Lonchura striata: one gene and its partner. The protein of the gene in region 1 interacts with the protein of each later gene in a pairwise test. Links are inferred from orthologs where the notes say so. Each region holds a gene or a part of one and is shown in the gene's direction. Other genes may lie near its edges.

Region 1 (3,722 bases):
GTGTGGATTTGGGATGAACAGCTCTTCCCGGCGGGGGGAACACGGTGTCCTGGAGTGGGGGGGGCCAACACTGGGAATTGCCCCACAGAGCCAGGGCACCCCACGGAGCATCTTCCCAGCCCCACTTCCCACCAACCCCAGGTTTTGGGGGGTCTGTCCCCAGCATCCCCGGGTTTTGGGGGAGCTGTCCCCGTCATCCCCGGGTTTTGGGGAAGCTGTGCCCGCCATCCCCGGGTTTTGGGGGAGCTGTCCCCAGCATCCGCGGGCTTTGGGGGGGCTGTCCCCGCCATTCCCGGGTTTTGGGGGGGGCTGTCCCCGCCATCCCCGGGTTTTGGGGGGACTGTCCCCAGCATCCCCGGGTTTTGGGGGAGCTGTGCCCAGCATCCCCGGGTTTTGGGGGAGCTGTGCCCAGCATCCCCGGGTTTTGGGGGGGCTGTCCCCAGCATCCCCGGGTTTTGGGGGGGCTGTCCTCAGCATCCCCGGGTTTTGGGGAAGCTGTGCCCAGCATCCCCGGGTTTTGGGGAGGCTGTCCTCAGCATCCCCGGGTTTTGGGGGGGCTGTCCCCGCCATCCCCGGGTTTTGGGGGGGCTGTCCCCAGCATCCCCGGGTTTTGGGGAGCCTGTCCCCAGCATCCCCGGGTTTTGGGGGGGCTGTCCCCAGTATCCCCCCGTGTCCCCCGTGGGCTGGGCGGTGCCCCGGGGGGGGGATACCGCAGCCGTGACGTCACGGCGCTCAGCCAATGGGCGCGGGCCGTGGCGGGGTGGGGCAGGGGCGGCCCCGGTGGGGACCGGGGCTGCTCCGGGGGGTCCCGGTGCCCCCCGCTCTCCTCATGCAGGGCATGGGGAGCCTCCGGCTGGGCAGCCGCGCCGTCATGTACACGGCGGAGACCCTCCCCAAGGGCAAGAACCGCGTCATGGGGGTGAGTTTGGGGGGGTCGGGGGGGGAGTAACGCTTGGAAAATCCTCCCTCAGCCCGTTCCCGAGGGATTCCTGCTGATCCCTCGAGGGGTGCTGTGTATCCGGAGAGGCGCTGGGATTAAGGCATCCCACATCCCCAGGGTGGCTCTGTGGGCAGGGGGGTTGAGTTGACCCCGTTCCCACCCATCCCGCTCTTCCAGACCATCCAGATTATGACGGGATTCCTGCACATCGGCTTCGGGATCGTCCTGACCACGCTGACCAATGTCTACACCTCCGTCTTCGTCATCGGAGAGATCCCCTTCCTAGGCGGCGTGTCTGTACGTGCCGGGGGGCTGGGAAGGGATTCCCACCGGGAAAGACCGCCTGGGGTGGGAGGGGTTGCCCACCAGGAAGGGAATCGCACCAGGGAACAATGCCCACAGGGAAGGGAATTCTGCTGGGGGGGATGCCAGCAGGTGGGATGCCCATTGGAAGGGATGCTCACAGGGAATGATGCACTTGTGGCTCCCATGACCTCGGCAGCTGGGAATCAAGGGCAGGAGGGGTCAGTATGTCCCCTGTGCTACCTCTGGGCAGGTTTGGGGTGCCCTCAGCGCCAGCTGAGCCCCGTCTCTCCTGCTGCAGTTCATCATCTCCGGGTGCCTCTCCATCGGCGCTGAGAAGAGCCCCACGGAATGCGCGGTGAGTTTTCCCAGGAGCCCGCCGGGAGTGATCCCATGGGGGAGGTGGGGTGTCCCCCTGGTGCTTTGGGGGGGTCTGCCACCCTCCCCCCTCCCCAAAGCCCCCCGGGTGCCCACAGGTGAAGGGCAGCCAGACCATGAACGTCATCAGTGCGATCTTCGCGCTCCTGGGAATCGTAGCCTTCATCGTGGACCTCAACCTCAACGGGCTCTACCGCTCCAGCTTCAACTACTACAGCTATCTCGTCCTGGTAAAATCCCACTTGGTGGAATTCCTGCCCTTGGGAACCCTCCCACGGCCTTTTCTCCAGCCCTCAAGGGGTGTTGTGCCCTTTCCCAAATTCCTGTTGGGGTGGCGGTTTCTCCTCTGCCGGCACGACCTATTTTCGGCTGGTACCTTGGGAGATGAGTCACCCCCTGGATGCATCCATGAGCCATAAAAACGTGGCATGGAGGGCTTGGAGTGAGACCTTGGAGCCAGGGATGCAGAGGGAAAGGAAGGGGGAGCCACAGAATGCTGCCCTGTGTGGGGTTCATCCTCGTGGGCGCTGTTGGGGGGGTACTGACGGGGTTTTCCCCCTCCTGGAGCTCGCAGGGAATGGGATTTCCATCGTGCTGCTCATCTTCACCATCCTGGAATTCTGCATCGCCGTGGCCACTGCCAATTTCTGGTGCCGGGCCACCCGCCTCAGCTCCAACGAGGTAAGATGAGGGGGGTGGCAGGGATGGATCCCAAAAAGTGCATCCCGTGATCCCAGTGTCTGCCATAATCCTGGTGTTCCCCAGGCCATGCTGATTGTCCCCAGTGCCACCCGTGTGGATCTGGCCGTGCCACCGGCGGAGCTGCCTCAGCCTCCCAGCTACAGCGAGGTGATCCAAGCCTGGATAGGGGCGGAATCAGCTTTGGGATGGCTCCTGGGATGACAGTCCCCATCATGCTGCCATCGCTGTCCCCTCCCTGGGGAAACATCCCACCCCAATCCCCAGGGAGCATCCTGGAGCATCCATCCCTCTGCTCTGGGAATGGGGAGGAGATCCCAAACCTCCGTGGGTGGTGGGTGCTGAGCGTGGGGTCCCCCCAAATCCTGCCCCCTTTCCAAAACACCTCCTGGTCTCTTTGCAGCTAGCTGCTCCTGAAGTTTGACACCGAGGATGTTGGAATGGGATCCTGCCTCCATCACTCCTAAATCCCAGAGCTACGGCATCCTCCTCCCACTGTGCTGCCGGCTGGGATGCGCTGGTCCCCCCTCAAAAGCCAGGGACACCCCCAAATTCCCTGCCCCTCTGCCCCTGGGCCTGGTCTGAGGGGCTCCACTTGCTGGCTGCTGTGGGAAGGGCTTCTCCAAGGGGGAAATCTTGGGCAATTCCTGCCTGTCAATCCCTGGCGGGATGCTGGGGTTCGCTCATGTTGGGGTTCAGGAATTCCTGGTGGTTTGGAGTGACCCCGATGTGTGCTGGGAGCCGGGCAGGTCACCGGAGCATCTACCTCGGCTCGTCCCCTGTTGGCTTCATTTTCTCTTGGGAATAAACGCTCTCTCCGGGCTTGTGTCTCTTGAATTTGGGAATTTTCAGTGTGGGAGCTACACTTCCCCCCTCACAGAGCTGCTGCCCCTCAGGAAAGAGGCTCATCCTGCCTGATTTAGGGATACTTGCTCTCTCTTTCCTGATGGAATTCTGCCCGCCTTGAACTCCTGGTACCTGCTTGCTTTCCCTGAGAGGAATTCTGCTCCCCTAAACCCCTGGCACCATCTCCCAAGGGAGTTTTGCTCCTCTAAACTCCTGGTGCCTGCTCTCCTGAGGGAATTCTGCCCCTCTAATCCCCTCTCCTGCTGGAACTCCACTCTCTAAACCAGGGTACCTGGTCTCCCGAGGGAGCTGCGCTCCCCAAACCCCCTCCACCCCCCCATTCCAGCACGGTTCTGCTATCTTTAGCTCAGCCGGAGCAGCCGGACAGCTGGCGGCGATGCCGGTGACGCCAGCACATCCCGGTTCTTCCGCCACCGGAGAAGCTGCCCCGGGGCTGGAGCCGCTCTTGGAGGTGACACGGGGACACTGGTGTCATGTGCTCCCTGTTCCCACAATCCTGGGTGGTGGGAATGGTGCTGAGGGGCGCTCCCAAACC
Region 2 (3,743 bases), on another chromosome or scaffold:
TGTGAACAAAAGGCTTTTTGTCCCAGTCCCCCAGCAGCCTGGGAGCAGGGAAGGGAAGGAGCATCGTCTTTAAGAATGCTGCTGAACAAGAAGGGCAGCCAGCTTAAGGGAAGAATCCTCTCTTGTCCAACCAGTGACCAGTACGTTGCTCCATTTTTAGATTGTTTGCCTGTTCTTCTCCCCCACTCAGAAGGCTGGGTTACTCCCAGGAATGTACCTGACCCAACACAAATAGCAGCTGGTGGGAATCCTGGGAATGCTGTGTTCCCCAGGATTATTTCCTCTGCTGACCCCTGAGCACCTTGTGACCACAGGCTCTGTGTGCTGCCCATGGGGAAGTGATCAATCCACTTTCTCTTTAGTGCTGGACCATCTGGATGCTTCCTGCAGGGTGATGGGGACCTTACCACTGAATCACACCTGGATTTAAGCCCAGGCCAGGCTCAGTTTTGTCTGGCGAGATTTGAAACAAGATTTTTGAAAACCTCCACTGCATGGAGCCAAAGCCAGCTCCCACTGGAGTATTTGTAAACAGGAGCCTCCAGGAATACCACAGAACACTTCCCCCAGCCTAGGAAGTGCTCAGAGACATGGATTTGATCTTTGCTCTGTGTTGTGCAAGAGCTTGGCATAGAAGCCGAGTTCCTGGGGCATCACCTGTCTTGCCTAGCAGAGCTGGAATAACTCACTGTGACAGTGTCTTCCTCCTGCTGTAGCCCGTTGCCCGGGTTAATGGGTTCATTCTGTCCTCTCTGGGCCACCAGGCAGAAGTGCCACCCCCAGCCCTTCATCCCACCCCTTTTCTGGGAGTTCTGGGGCCAGGCAGAGTGCACTGGATGAGACAGCAAGTGCTTCCCGAATCCAAACTGCATTTGCCAGGAGGCAGAAATTCCTGCCGCTCCCCTTCAAACCTCACTGGGCTATCGGGAGCACATTGCCAAACCCTTCTGGTGTGTTTGTAAAAATTTACCTGCTAGTTTCTGAAGGTTGGATGTGCCTGGAGGGTGTGGAAGGGTCTGGCGTGACCGTGGAGCAGAAACCTGAACAGAAAGGGGAGGAGGCAACAACAGTGGAAGCAAAAATATTTCAGGATTGGAAGCGTGCCAAGAGAATCGTTTGCAGGAAACATTTATGTTCCGTCAAGGTGTAGGAAGTTTTTTTCCTTCCCCCTCCAGTTAATGACCTCGCATTGGTGCGTGGTGGGGCCGGGGTCCCGCTCTGTCCCATCCCGGTTGGCAGCGGGATGCCCAAAGCCGCCGCAGTCGCAGGGGTGCCAGGGGCTCGTCGGGCTGGGGCAGCGGCGCGGTGCCAGCCCCGGCCGGTTCCTGTGCTTACGTCCCGCGGGCGTGTCCCTTAAATCCCGCATGGGAGCGGCACGGGACAGGCAAGCGCCAGCGGAGCCGAGCGGAGCGGTGTCAGCGGAGGAGAGATGGCCTCGGTGGGTCCCTCCGCAGCCCCCACGCAGCCCGCTCTGCCCTCCGGACCCGCCGTCTTCAAAACCATCCCCTACGCCTTCATCCTGCCGGAGATCGTGAGTATGCCTCGCTCCGCTGCCTCATGGAACCCACTCCTGGCTAAAAATCCCCTGAAACCATCCTGAAGGCATCGTTACTGGAAAGTGACATCTTGTCTTGGAGCTTATGCTGAATGCACAAAGTATTCCTGACGAGGTTTTTAGGAACAGCTTGAGGACAAGGTACACTCAGCTCCATCACAGCCTGTGTGAGGGTCACTGGCTGCCGTGGGGCTGGGAGAGGCTGAAGAGCTGATGGTTCATCCAGGGCAGACTAGCAGCTCTTGTTATCATGAAGCAGCTCTTGTTAGCTTGTAGAAATGGCTTGAAAATCAAGGGAATTTTGCTCTCTGTATCAAATCGGTCTAGGGGTTGAAGGCAATTGGGCGTCTGCTAATGTGTGATGACATTCCATGATTCTTTCAATTGCTTCTGGGTACAGAGGGCATCCAGGGGACCAGCCAAGATTTTAGCTGGTGTACTTTGTCATGGTGCTGGCAATTCACACACCCTGTGCTCCACAGGCACAATCCTTCCCCGTGGTGGCTGGCTCAGCTCCCTGCTGCAATTCCAGGGCTTTCACCCACCACAGTTGGGATGGCACAGGCTCATCCCAATAACTCCATAGGCTTTTTGTAGTGAGTAAATATTTTGGGTGGATCGCTCCAGGCTGGTGCATGGAGCTAAGAGGAGACTTCCTTGTGCTGCAATTCCAAGCCCCAGAGATTAATGAGCGGGCAGGGCTGGGTTGAGGCAACTTGCTCACTTTTCCCAGATAAAAGCACATTTTCTGGCTTCTCCACCAAATCTCTCGGGGTGAGACATTTCCTTGTGTGGAAGGCGGCAGCAAACCCTTCCTTTTTGTGTGAACACTCATTTCCCATGAGTTTTCAGGGAAACCAGTGCCAACTTGCTTGCTTGTTTCCCAGAGCACTGGGATGCTCTGGGAAAGATGCAGGGGTTCTGCTGGCTGCTGCAGCTGGCCCAGGAGGGAGGCGAGGAGGGAACTGGGGAGGGAAAGGGCTTTTCCTCATTCCACACTCATCAGAGGCACTTGATTGTCCCTGGCAGCTCTGTGGGACCTGGGTGTGGATCCTCATCGCTGCTACCTCAGTCTCCTTGCCATTGCTGCAGGGATGGGTGATGTACGTGTCCCTCACCTCCTGCCTCATCTCCCTGCTGCTCCTCTTAAGCTACCTCCTCGGCTTCCACAGGAACAGCGAGAACTGGAAAGTGCTGGTAAGGAGGGGATGGAACACGCAGACGGCAGCAGCAACGTGGGTGCATGACCCCGTGGCTGGTGACCCACTGACCCTTTCTTCCTTTTACCTTGACTGGAAAGTCCAGGGGAGCTCTGCTGTGAAACCACTGCCTGGGAGGGTCCAGTCCCAGGCCTATCCAGGCACCTGTCCTCCTTTGGGGCACTCACAGGTGCCTTGTTTTGCAGGACAGTTTGTACCATGGCACCACAGCCATTCTGTACATGAGTGCCGCTGTCCTGCAGGCCAATGCGACCATCAACTCTGAGTTCGGCGACAATGCACCACTCAACTACCAACTCAACAGCGCTGCATCGGTGAGTTCACCCTGCCGAGCTGCAGGACACACACCCTTGGAAGGGCAACAGCATGTGTTAAAGCCACAGCAGAGTCACCCCAAGCCCCACAGTGCCAACTAAGCAGAGTTTCAGCTCCACAGCTCTGTGGATGGTGCAGTTAGCGTTGGTTTCTCAGGGTCCACCAGTTCACGGACAGCCTGACATGGCTGGATGCTGGGAAAACTTAGGCTTTGCCTCTCCTTTGAGGTGGAAGGAGCTCTATGCTGGGAGGCTTCCCCATGCTGAGAGCACTGGGAGGAGATGGGGTTTGACTCTGCCAGCTGACCCTTCCTCTTCTTTCTCTCATGCAGTTCTTTGCCTTCCTCACGACCTTCCTGTACATCCTCCATGCCTTCAGCATCTACTACCAGTGATCCTGGCAGCACCAGATTCACCTTTTCTGGATGAGGGCTTTCCCAGTGTGCAAGCCCCAAGGTGTCTGCCTCAGCTCTGTCAGCAGGCCTCAGGAACAGCAAGTCCTTTTGCACTTCATCACAGGAGGGATTTTGTTGGCACACGTTGGTTTGCCTGTGGGACATTTCCTGCCTTGCCTGGGGGAGGGACTTGCAAGGGGAGGGACTGGGCGCAGGCCCCAAGCCTCCAATATCCACATTCTGCCAATATTGACAACCA

What was found. The genes of interacting proteins can lie anywhere in the genome.
Region 2: the proteins of membrane-spanning 4-domains subfamily A member 12 (region 1) and MALL interact in binary tests that used the Homo sapiens proteins (3 or more experiments, as listed by UniProt). The two-hybrid records come from large-scale screens. The link is inferred for Lonchura striata from reciprocal best matches to the Homo sapiens genes MS4A12 and MALL.

Annotation. Positions count from the first base shown.
Region 1 is NC_134608.1:53,779,080-53,782,801, reverse strand, and holds membrane-spanning 4-domains subfamily A member 12, read left to right. Parts: upstream 1-763; 5' UTR 764-829; coding exon 830-919; intron 920-1,117; coding exon 1,118-1,237; intron 1,238-1,544; coding exon 1,545-1,601; intron 1,602-1,719; coding exon 1,720-1,851; intron 1,852-2,188; coding exon 2,189-2,302; intron 2,303-2,386; coding exon 2,387-2,470; intron 2,471-2,723; coding exon 2,724-2,744; 3' UTR 2,745-3,142; downstream 3,143-3,722. Other genes in the region: membrane-spanning 4-domains subfamily A member 15-like, read left to right, coding at 3,564-3,638. UniProt on the Homo sapiens protein: May be involved in signal transduction as a component of a multimeric receptor complex.
Region 2 is NC_134605.1:27,654,679-27,658,421, reverse strand, and holds the start of MALL (MAL-like protein), read left to right. Parts: upstream 1-1,420; 5' UTR 1,421-1,429; coding exon 1,430-1,531; intron 1,532-2,584; coding exon 2,585-2,752; intron 2,753-2,960; coding exon 2,961-3,089; intron 3,090-3,421; coding exon 3,422-3,484; 3' UTR 3,485-3,743.